3 linked regions of the Schizosaccharomyces pombe genome follow. The gene in region 1 interacts genetically with each later gene. Each region holds a gene or a part of one and is shown in the gene's direction. Other genes may lie near its edges.

Evidence for each region.
Region 2: mutations in sfp1 (region 1) and mpc1 together harm fitness more than expected from each alone (negative genetic interaction), as found in Schizosaccharomyces pombe (one large-scale study listed by BioGRID).
Region 3: mutations in sfp1 (region 1) and cwf16 together harm fitness more than expected from each alone (negative genetic interaction), as found in Schizosaccharomyces pombe (one large-scale study listed by BioGRID).

Annotation. Positions count from the first base shown.
Region 1 is NC_003424.3:4,432,825-4,436,582, reverse strand, and holds the start of sfp1 (transcription factor Sfp1), read left to right. Parts: upstream 1-2,069; 5' UTR 2,070-2,950; coding exon 2,951-3,758. Other genes in the region: SPOM_SPAC9E9.02 (uncharacterized protein), read left to right, coding at 670-966; SPOM_SPAC9E9.01 (uncharacterized protein), read right to left, coding at 1,382-1,644, 1,686-1,722.
Region 2 is NC_003421.2:198,542-202,283, forward strand, and holds mpc1 (protein mpc1), read left to right. Parts: upstream 1-1,560; 5' UTR 1,561-1,588; coding exon 1,589-1,590; intron 1,591-1,630; coding exon 1,631-1,735; intron 1,736-1,823; coding exon 1,824-1,918; intron 1,919-2,101; coding exon 2,102-2,142; intron 2,143-2,208; coding exon 2,209-2,303; intron 2,304-2,358; coding exon 2,359-2,446; 3' UTR 2,447-3,084; downstream 3,085-3,742. Other genes in the region: sec6 (exocyst complex subunit Exo3), read right to left, coding at 1-289, 364-429, 488-592, 655-682, 738-775; mug146 (protein mug46), read right to left, coding at 3,231-3,742. UniProt on the Schizosaccharomyces pombe protein: Mediates the uptake of pyruvate into mitochondria.
Region 3 is NC_003424.3:1,488,023-1,491,540, reverse strand, and holds cwf16 (splicing factor), read left to right. Parts: upstream 1-1,785; 5' UTR 1,786-1,958; coding exon 1,959-2,771; 3' UTR 2,772-2,931; downstream 2,932-3,518. Other genes in the region: gpp74 (golgi phosphoprotein 3), read left to right, coding at 1-800; F1-ATPase chaperone Atp12, read left to right, coding at 3,486-3,518.

The DNA of each region.
Region 1 (3,758 bases):
AATTCTTATTTGTCATAATAGATGCATAGCAATTGGCTCAATTTCAATTTCAATTTTACTTATTTTTTTTTTCTTTAAAGAATACCTTCGGGAATTGGTTGCGTATAGGAAGAATTGAATCTGTCTCACTTGAATTGTATGCGACAATGTCGTTTTGATGTTGTTGACCCATACTCTCTTGACACTTGTTTACTAATGTCATTTTTTCATTTTTTTCTCATAGACGATAGATTACTCCTTGGGATGTATGAATTTCTTTATCGTTTTCTTCAATTATTAATCCTATCAAATTGTCTGTAGTTTTTCATTCATGAACCAAGTCAGAATCACTTTTATCTTGGTCCTTGTTCATATCCCTTCGCTTGCCATAGCGCCAGCGCCCTTGACATCATGGTAGAGTGTGTTTGATATAGAAGCATCATAAACTATCCAATGGCCAGAACCCTAGAAGATTGCTGAGAAATGTAATTAAAACGTTGTAAATTCATTGCCTTTGGTATTGAGTGTGATGCCTGCGAATTTCATCTTTTCAACTACTGACCTAAGTGTGGTGGATATGTGGACAAATGATGGGATTGTTAAATAATGAAAATGATGCTTAAGAGTTTCTGGAAGAAAACGAAGAATTGATAGATTGGACATTTGACGTTGACTTTCCATTTCTATATAATGGATGTGGATTTCGCTAATGCCAAACACAAACTGCATTGTTTATTAAAAAAAAATTTCCTCTTAACGATTCGATTCAGTTCATTGGTTTCAATACAATACATCCCATTCTCCAATCGTTTGTATGAAATCATCAGTATTGCTCTAAATCCTTGCAATTTTTCTAAAAGTCTTTTTTGGTTACGAAAAAAAATAAAAAACTCCGTTCTGTTAAAAACTTCCTTTGATTCTAACGAAACAATTTTTTTTTTATATTCTCTTCATCGTTGTGTGTATTATCTTTTCATTTATCTGTGATAATACCGATTCTTTATTTATTTATTTACTTAGTTATATACTTGTTATTCCATTCTGTTCCTTTGTTAGTTACTGATCTTCACCTTACTTTCAATCATTTTCTTTTGGGTTGTTGTAAGGTTTATATATTTGGTTTATCTTGTACGATAGTTTGTTTTTTTCTTCATTCGCAAGCTATTCTATCTAGATATTTTTTTAGCTCCATTTCCTATAAGCTTTAGTTTTTCTTTTCCCTTTTCCCGTCTAATTTTTTCTTGTAAAATCGCTAGACGTCCATTTTCATTTTCTTGTTTGCTTGTCTTTTTACATCTCTTCCAAAAATATCCGTCTTCTCTTTACTAGCACAAAGAAGAGAAATATCCTTCCTCCATTTCAATTAAACGACGATATTTCTTTCATTTCATAGTCGTTTACTTTACCAATTAACCCTTGAAAGGACATTGTATCTCGCAAATTCCTTGAGTTTGCTTTCCCGGTAAATTTGGTATAACCGACAACGATCTTCATTGTCTGCCTCCATCCATTCCCCATTAGCTGCTTCACAACGTGACCAGACTGCGAACCCTGCCTCAAGTTTGATTACCGAACCAACATTTGAATCGCTAAACGTTTTTAGCCGCTTCGATTTTCCGAGAAACACATAAACAAAGATTGTGTGTGTTACTGTACCCGTGTGCACTTGACCGTATATTAGGACACTATAACGCTAAGCTGCGTACCGCTTAATTCTGCACTGAGCTCCAAGCCATCCGCCATCGTTCATTTGCGACCCTTTGTCTAGAAACTATTCGCCCCTTGTCTTCGGCCCCATCTATTGGAAGTAACGACCTTCCGATACGGCACTGACGAAGTTGCATTGTTACCCCTAATTACTTTGATCCAAGTTCGATCCACTCTGTGTACTCTGATTGGCTTTCTTATATTTAAGGGCCCCTCATTAGGTGTTTAAGTCTGAAAGCTTCACTGTTATTCGCTCGCATAGTCGGCGTCACTGTTACTTGACCCTTTTATCCTTGTTACCTTTATACATACGTAACGAGAAGGCTTGCTAAATCACCTTATCAATTACTACTTAAACACCGTCCTACCCTTCTTAACGCCTTATTCTGACTAACTTCAACGTGAGGACGACACGAAGGAAGCAGAAGCAAATATACTTACTTAACTTAAGGGAGTTAGTACAATCATAGAATTGTTGTTGAATACCATATATTCAACTTAAAAAAAATTAAACATATTTATAAAAAAAATTCGCTTGCAACATATATTGCGTCCACTAGTTGCCTGCAAAAAAAAGATTACTCTTTTGAAGTATCACCACTCTTTTCGATTGATCTCGATTGTTCATTGAATCAAAGCGTAAATTATTTACTATTTCGCTTTATTTTAAAAAAAAGTCGAATCGAACAGTTTCCTCGACTCGATTCGTTATTACTTGACTTTCTTTGTTGATTAAAAAGGATTCTTTAAAAGGTTTTTACTCCCTTTCTTTTCATCTTATTTATATTATACATTTATCATCCGTTAATCGCCAATTTGTTTAGACTGAAAAAATTAGATAAGTCACTTTGGGGTTTCCACTTAAAACATTACAATACACTAATTACACTTGGGTAATTTAGTGCTTAAAAATAGTTTACCTTCATTTTTTTGCTTGGTAAATTCTTCTTTTAGAAACTTTTTCCTTTTTTTTTCGAATTTATAGTTCGTCGAATTTCATTAGATTTTACATTCAGTCTTTTTTTAATTGCCTTTTTTTACCCCTCTCAGCGCTCTCTAAGAACTTGCCTTCCTTAAGTCGAGTTTTCTAAGTGCATTATTCCCTGATTTCTCAAAAAATAACTTACTAAATTATTTTGTTATTTTTATTCTATTTTTTCATCATTGGTATATAATTTTTAATTTGGTTTCTATTTATCGGTTTATCTTTTAATTTTCTCTTTTATCTCTTTAATTTTATTAATTCCCTTAAAAACTTTTCAATATGCCATCTCTCGCATTGCCTATCAATAAGCCTTCCCATCACAATGTCAACTACAACGGAAATTCCTTTAACAGCATTCATGCTACCTCTTTTGGAATGAGTCCACAGTCTTGGGGAAATAGCTTTAGTGGACAAGCTTGGCTTCGTGATACTATTCCATCTCTTTCTAACGTGGTTGAGTCACAAACGATTCCCGAAGAGGATTCTACCTCTTATCTAAACCGGTTAGAAGAAGCATTTTGCCGTGATTTCCGCTGCTGTGGTCAAACTCTCGAAGATTTGCATCAACTTATTCACCATTATGAAGAGCAGCACGCCGTTCTGGCAACTGATTCTGCTGTTCCTCAAGAATATTCTTTGGATAGCAACAACGCTGCTCAATCTAATCATTCTCATATTCAAGCGCTCAAACAGCGTGAGCGCATCCGTATGCATGATCTTGCTGATCAGCTTGGAACTTCTGAAATTTCTGATAATTCTGCTGTTTTACCATTTGCCTTTCCTGCTAACGGTGGTGCTCCTGGCCCTTACCGCGTTTCCGTTGTCGTACCTGCCGCTGCTGCTGCTGCTGCTGCCGCTGCCAGCTCCGACATGAGCAGTGACGAGGCCAGTAGTCAAGCAGAGACAACTGGTACCCCGAAAAAGATGCCTGAATCATTGGTAATGGATGCAAGCTCCCCTCTCAGTGACATGAGCATGTCTATTGACGTTGGTGAGTCCGCTGCCAATAATGTTTTTGCGTTCAATCAAAAGGACATGGTTGACTCTACATATCTTCCCCCATTCAATTACGATCACGATGTTTTTT
Region 2 (3,742 bases), on another chromosome or scaffold:
TAATTGGAAGATCACTTTGGCCTTCAAGGGATGCCTGGTATAGGGCTTCTTCACGGAATTCTCGAAGCTTAGAAAGTTTATAATGGGCGCGTAACAAATTTGGCATATCAGAGTCAAGTTCTAAATCTTCACGCAACATGTCTTCTATTACATCTGTCTCCTTGACTAAATTATTTAACTGCGATATCATTTGTTTTGTTGCATAACAATTTTTGTATATCCGAGACATGCGACTGATTAACGGAAATTCATCGACCATCTCGCGTGCACTCTCACATAAAGTCAACATCTAAAAAAAAATCAACATTAGTAAAAAAGTCTTTTAGAAAATGTCAAGAAAGCTTAAGCTTCGACTTTACTCACGTTATGCAATTCCTGAAGAAGCTTCACTCTTTTCGTTTGAGCATCATGCAGTGCCAATTTCCCCAACTAAAGACGTAAGTTAGATCAATTACAATTATCGCATTAATTTAATATTTGTGCTAACCTCAACGGCTTCCACGTGCTTTTCGAGCTCCGTTTTCACATGCATATTAAGAGACGCTTGCTCGCGTTCAAATCGCTCAATATGAGTAGATAATCGATGAAAATCCTAAAATCATCAATTGTTAGCTTTCGATCTTAATTCCAAGCATCCTAACAAGGACCACTTACCTCACATTGTCTAAGAATATCCGCTACCCTGACAAAGTTAGAGTAATCGTTTCATAAATGGTATTTTGATAAATAATCCTTACTTGTTATAGACAGCATCATCCGATGCGGCAGCGGTCATTTTCTTAAAGTTATAAGCAGACCTAGTGCTTACAAACGTTTCTATTTACTGACAGATTGATTAATATATTTACGGACTGGTTGTAAAGGCAGGCAGCTTTAAAGCATTGCAATTCATTTCCGTAAAACAAATAATTCTCTCGTCAAACTTCCTTAACTAATTTAAGAAGTTTGTACAGCATAAATTTTAATATCAAATTCACACTCGTAATAAGGTGTAAGGAAAATATTCGCATTGCTCTATTTTTATAATATTTAAATGATAGATTGATAGAATAGTATAGATCTGAGCAAGGGTTTAAATGAGTATTTAGCCAAATTTTTTGTTTTTGTTATCCAAAAATAGTTAGCATACCTTTTTACAAAAATTTAAATAATTGGTCCTGTTCGAATTTACCTATAGTGTTCAAATCGTCTACGAGGCTCATTTAAGTAATAATATATACTTTGTCTCGAAATCATCCTTCTTCCCTATAATCCCAGAAATCAGTATACTTCTTAATTGACAAAAAATCAACAGGAATTTCTTTTCTTTTAACATCCAATTAATAAAGCTCATAATGTGAATTAATGGATTACGTAAAGCTTCGGTATCTGATTTCTTCAAAAAGTGAGATTTTTTCCTGATAAAGTAAAAAATATATATATAATAGATTATTTGTTATATAATCTTCCAATATTCATCAACTGATTGAGGTATAAACATTAAGAGACTGTAGCTAATCTCCGATTTTTCTGCTCCACTAATAGGATAATAAGCTAGTAATTTGAAGCCTTTGGCAAGCCAACCACAGCCTATATTATTTTTTTAAAAATGTATGTCACTAAAAAAAACAGTTTTAACATTTTTTTGTAGGAATGCATCAGAAAAGTTGAGCCAAAAGGCTGCTCAGTCGGTCACAAGAAGGTTTATTACCTGGTTGAAAAGCCCTGATTTCAGAAAATATTTATGTAGTACTCAGTAAGTAGATGGAAAGGTTTAAAGATTGCTATCTCTCGTTTTTTTTATATTATTTATGGTTTAAAAGATTTCTTTGCTAATAAGATAGCTTCTGGGGTCCGTTGTCGAATTTTGGAATTCCTATTGCTGCTATTTTGGATTTGAAAAAGGATCCCAGGCTTATTTCTGGGCGCATGACAGGTGGTATGTGTTAAAAAATAGTCATATCAATAACTTGGCCATGACAATGCGGTTTTGGGGAAGCTCTTTTAGAGATTGGAGTTAGTTTCCTTTTTTCCGCTGATCGTGGTTATCTCTGTTGTCAATGCAGTTATCGAGATGACTTTCTGTATCGTTTAAAAGTTGCTTTTTTGTTAATCTCCTTAGCACTTATTCTCTATTCCAGCGTCTTTATGCGTTATGCCTGGGTATGTTTTGAATCATCTTACTCCTTTCTCCAATATTTGATAGAACTTTTACTAACTAGCGTTTAGATGGTAAGCCCACGTAACTATTTATTACTCGGATGCCATGCCTTTAATACCACTGTTCAAACGGCACAAGGAATTCGTTTCGTCAACTTTTGGTAGTATGTGTATTGAGACTTTGTTATTCTATTGTTTACTAACGACTTATTTAATTAGTGGCAAAGAAGGTGCTTCTAAACAATCTGTTTTCGAGAACATCATGCAAGCAGCCAAACATCCTGAAAGTGGCACTCGTCAAAAGTGAAAAGGGTCAAGTATTTATTCTTTAAAATACGAGTGAACGGATAAGTCACTTGCTCTAACAAAATTGATTCGAAGGAAGGGTATAAATAAGCAAACCTGAGAAATATGTGTTATCGGTTTATTACTTGCTCTAATATAGGAAAAATTCATTTTTCCTATTTAGTTTAGGATTTGCAAATTTTGAAGTCCGTCATTATTTTGTTAATGTACATTCTTTTTTCTTTTTACAAAATGTCTTTTTCTATTTTACTGGTCCGAGACGTCGTATCCTTGTTTTTTGTGGAAGCACAACTAAATTGTTTTGATAATATCAACAATATGTTTTCAGGCAAAAGTTGTCACGTGGAACGATATTTTTATGATTGTGGCTTCTAGTATTCTGTACTTCTTAATACAAAATATTAACACTATTATATGGTAGCACCATGGCGTACTAGTTTTCTGATTTGTCGGTTACTGAATATTTATTGAATATATTGATAACGGTAAAGTCACTTTTTAAAAGAGCAAGTTCAGTTACACAATCTAGCTTTTACTAGGAAAAGTAGTTTCAATTACTTTTTTAATTAATTTTGTGTAATATTCCGATATATTAGATGTTAGGCTTAAAAGAAATCGAAAATACTAACAATTAGGGAGGTCATTAGTGAAAAAGAAAATTAAACAAAATATAAACGATCAACGGTAATACGTGATCACAAAATTGAAGGTCAAAGCATTTCATCACCAAAATTTTTAAAGTTAGGTGAACATGATCGGGAAGTTCAGAATAGCTTTCACATATTTTACACCAGAACGCCAAATGCTTGTAATTCTATTTTTATTTTATCAAAAAATGCTTCATTGACAGAGTTTGTAGACACCGTATCTGAGTATTTACGGATGGCTGTTTGTAAATCCGTAAGCAAGAATTCCAAACGTAGCAACAATAATGAAGGATCCTCTGATGATTCTTCATTGATATTTTTCCAAATTTTTTCAAGATGAGAGATGTGCTCCTTATGCACGATTTGTTGATCAATGCCGTTATCTTTTGTGTTGTTTAAGAGCTCTTTTAAAATGTTGAAATTTTTCTCAAAGTCTGCACAAACAATTTTGTCATTATCCATTGGATCTATAGAAGACCAATCGGTCTGAATTTTATTCTGATTAAACATACACAAGGAAGTTAAATCGGTTTGCTTATATAACGAATTTGAAGCTGAAGAGCATGTCTCGGAAGCACTATCTCCAAAATATGTGGAAGAATCAGTATCGGAATCGCACTTTAAAGAATAGCGATCGCTTCCACTTTGCT
Region 3 (3,518 bases), 2.9 Mb from region 1:
AAGACAAGCAAGGTTATCTTTCTTTTTGGAATGACAGCATTTCTTATTCTCTTCGGGGATGTATTCTAATGGAGCTCGCATTTCGTGGAAAGTTGCGTATGCAAAAAGACGTTAATCGTAAACGCTTTCCGTTAGCGGATCGTGTAGTGGAGTTGGTTGATGAAAAACTTACAGGTGAGGTTCTTTTAGACGAAGCTATTAAAATGATACATACTAGCGAACTCATGTCTGTAACCTCTTGGATTGATTTGATGAGTGGTGAAACGTGGAATGTGATGAAGATTGGATATCAATTAAGACAAGTACGCGAACGGTTGGCAAAGGGCCTTGTTGACAAAGGGATTTTAAGAAATGAGAAGAAGAATTTCTTACTTTTCGACATGCCAACTCATCCCATTGCCGATACCTCCATTAAAGATTCCATTAAAAAAAGAGTGGTCTCTGTTCTTACTTCACGAGTAATTGAAATTGATAATTCACCTTCTTTCCCAGAATATTTGTCTTTTCGTTGCCTTCGCACTGTTGCCCTTGCTTGTTCCTCATACGCTGCTAATGTTCTTGAAAACGCTCTTGACAATTTAAACTATGAAGATCGTGAAAAAGCATTTTCTCGCGTAGACGAGCTTCTCTGTGACTTTTCGCAATGGCCTTTTGATCTTCATGCTTCTTCGTCAGTTGGCGCTAACTTGCCTGAGCTAATTTCCGAAGAACTTTCCTCTGTGAAGGAAGAGCAACTACTTTTCATTGAGGTAGTCGCTGCTGTTCTTCAAGTTTTCACTCATTTAGATTCTTTACTTTGATAGCCAAGCATATCACTCGTTGGTGTTGTTTGAGTTATGTTATTTCCAACTCAGACTAATGAACAAACGTATACCGACTTCTATATCGCTAATGTCGGCTTAATTTGTTTGTTTTTAATTGGAGTATTATTTTAAAAGAAGTCAATTCAATCAAATTGTTCGTTGTTGTAAGAATAGTACTTTGAACAATCGGTGCTTCATTATCTAGTTGAATTTTCATTAAATTGGTGGTACCATTTCCACATATACTCTCTCCAGTTGAACACTTTATCTCGATATGGAGGCAATCCCATTTCGATATTGTCTGCTAAAAAAGATTTGTTCAGAATATCCCGGGTCAGCTTTCATTCTTTTCAGTTGCGGACATCGTTAGCTATTTTCTTCTCGTTTTAATGATTTACATACGTACATATAAGTCAGTCTTTCTTTTCACAAAGCTTTAGTTATTAAACTAACGAAAAATGACAATTGTGTAATTACTATACAGTTATCTTTTAAACCATTTTAAACTTGGGTTCTTCCACAAGCTTTACTTAAATGAACATATGATAAATTAATATAGCAGGTGTTTTCTTATGATCATTGCTATCAACTTTACTAAGACGAACATAAGCTGAAATACAGCGATTTTTAACCAAGTTCATATAAATCATCTATTCCTGCCATTAATGCCAACAACCCCATTAATTGTCTATTGCTGTAAGCGTAAAGTACTATGGAGACTGATCAGTCAAAATTAATCAGAAGCATTTAAATAATACACAATTTATAAGGGAATCTAAAGTACTCTTAAAACACCGGAAGGTGTAAGATTGACAAACAACGCTTGCTCACGTCTCGATAGCTCAGCTCAGGTATTGTATAAGGAAATATAAGGATGGTACTAAATATGTTTACGTAGTGCTATGTGCGCATTCAATTTATTACCGCGACGTATCGAGTGTCAAAGAACTACAGATAGTACTAGTACTTTTGCCATTCGCTTACAAAAAGCGCATATCCACATAAAACTAGCATTTTCAAATTCATCTGTAAAGTCAAATAATTCCAACCCAAAAGGACGGTTAAATTTTCCTTACTTTAATTTATTCTTTTTTTTTGAATTTGGTAAAGCAATTCTCGTACGTTCATTTCATTTTTTTTTCATAGTTTCCAACAATGTCTGAACGAAAGGTACTTAACAAGTATATCCCGCCCGATTATGATCCTTCCATTCGTCCTCCTAAGAAAAAGAAAAAGTTTCAAGGACCAAATGGTGGGAAATTGACTGTTCGTTTGATGACTCCATTTTCAATGCGCTGTCATACTTGTGGAGAGTATATATATAAAGGAAAAAAGTTTAACGCTAGGAAGGAGAAAACCGGCGAAAAATATTTTTCAATTGATATATTGAGGTTTTATATTCGCTGCACTAGGTGTGCTGCTGAAATAACATTTATAACCGATCCAAAACATGCAGATTATGCAGCAGAGAGTGGAGCTTCCAGGAATTATGAGCCGTGGCATGAAAAAAGATTACAAGAATATGAAGAAAATGAGTTAGCTGAACGCAATGACATTCCTGAGGAGGACGAAATGGAAAAATTAGAACAAAAAACATTAGACACTAAACGACAAATGCAAATTAGTGATGCACTCGACGAACTACGTGAAAAGAGCGCTCGAAGGTCTCGAGTTAACATTGATGATGCAATCGCTCTCTTAAAGGAAGATGCATATGGATCAATTGAAGAAGAGGAGTCCAAAAAGCGGAAATTTGAGGAAGAAGAAATTGATCGTGAAGCTAAATCGTTGTTTTCGTCTCAGGATGGTGAAATTATAAGAAGATTGAATGCAGAAACAACGGTTGAAAAAGAATTACCCAAACCTATAGATTTGGTTTCTGAGAAGCTGGCCACTTCCAATATACCGAATTTTCAGCCTCCAAAATATGCAAAAAGGAAAATGGAGAAGAAAAAGGTTTTGGTATAACGTCTATAAATGGCTAAATTTTTTAATTACTTGCATTTTTTATAGCTAAGCTATTAAAAATGTACATGTTCTTTTGTACCAGCGCAAGGTTTTTATTGTAATAATATTTAATGAGTTTTTGATGGATTTTCATAACGCGAGTTGATAGTCAATATCCTGTTCTAATTTTTATTATTCGATTAGTAAATGTAGTTTGTTATGTAGAATAATACCGTAGCATTTATAGAAAGGTTTTATTTTGTTTGTATCTATTCTTCAACTTTAAGTTTTTAACAGCACATGTTAATTGATTTTTTTTAAGGTTCCTTCTAATTTTCCGAGTATCTAATTGTAATTTATCAATTTACATTTACGGTTTGTCAAAAAGTAGTCTTAATCGTAGCTAAATTCAAGGCGGCTAACGTAAACAACGGTTTAGGAACTATGATAGGAACGTCTATTAATTTATTTTAAAAGAGTTTTTTCTTGCTTAATTAAAAACTACTTTTAGAAAAAAATATTAAAACTTATTCTCATCATGCCTGTGACAAAATATTGTTAGACTCATCTTACATAGTAACCAATATTTTGGAGAACACCAACTAAAAACGTATATCATAATAATTAACTCTTAAACAATAATTAAAAATTAAATTTTGGCAGTTTGAAGTACGAAAGATTTTTTAGTGTCTCAGATAGACACCTTGAATACCCTTTTTTTTCTATTTTTGTAAGATGCTTCGATCTTTACAATTTTACAGATTATCC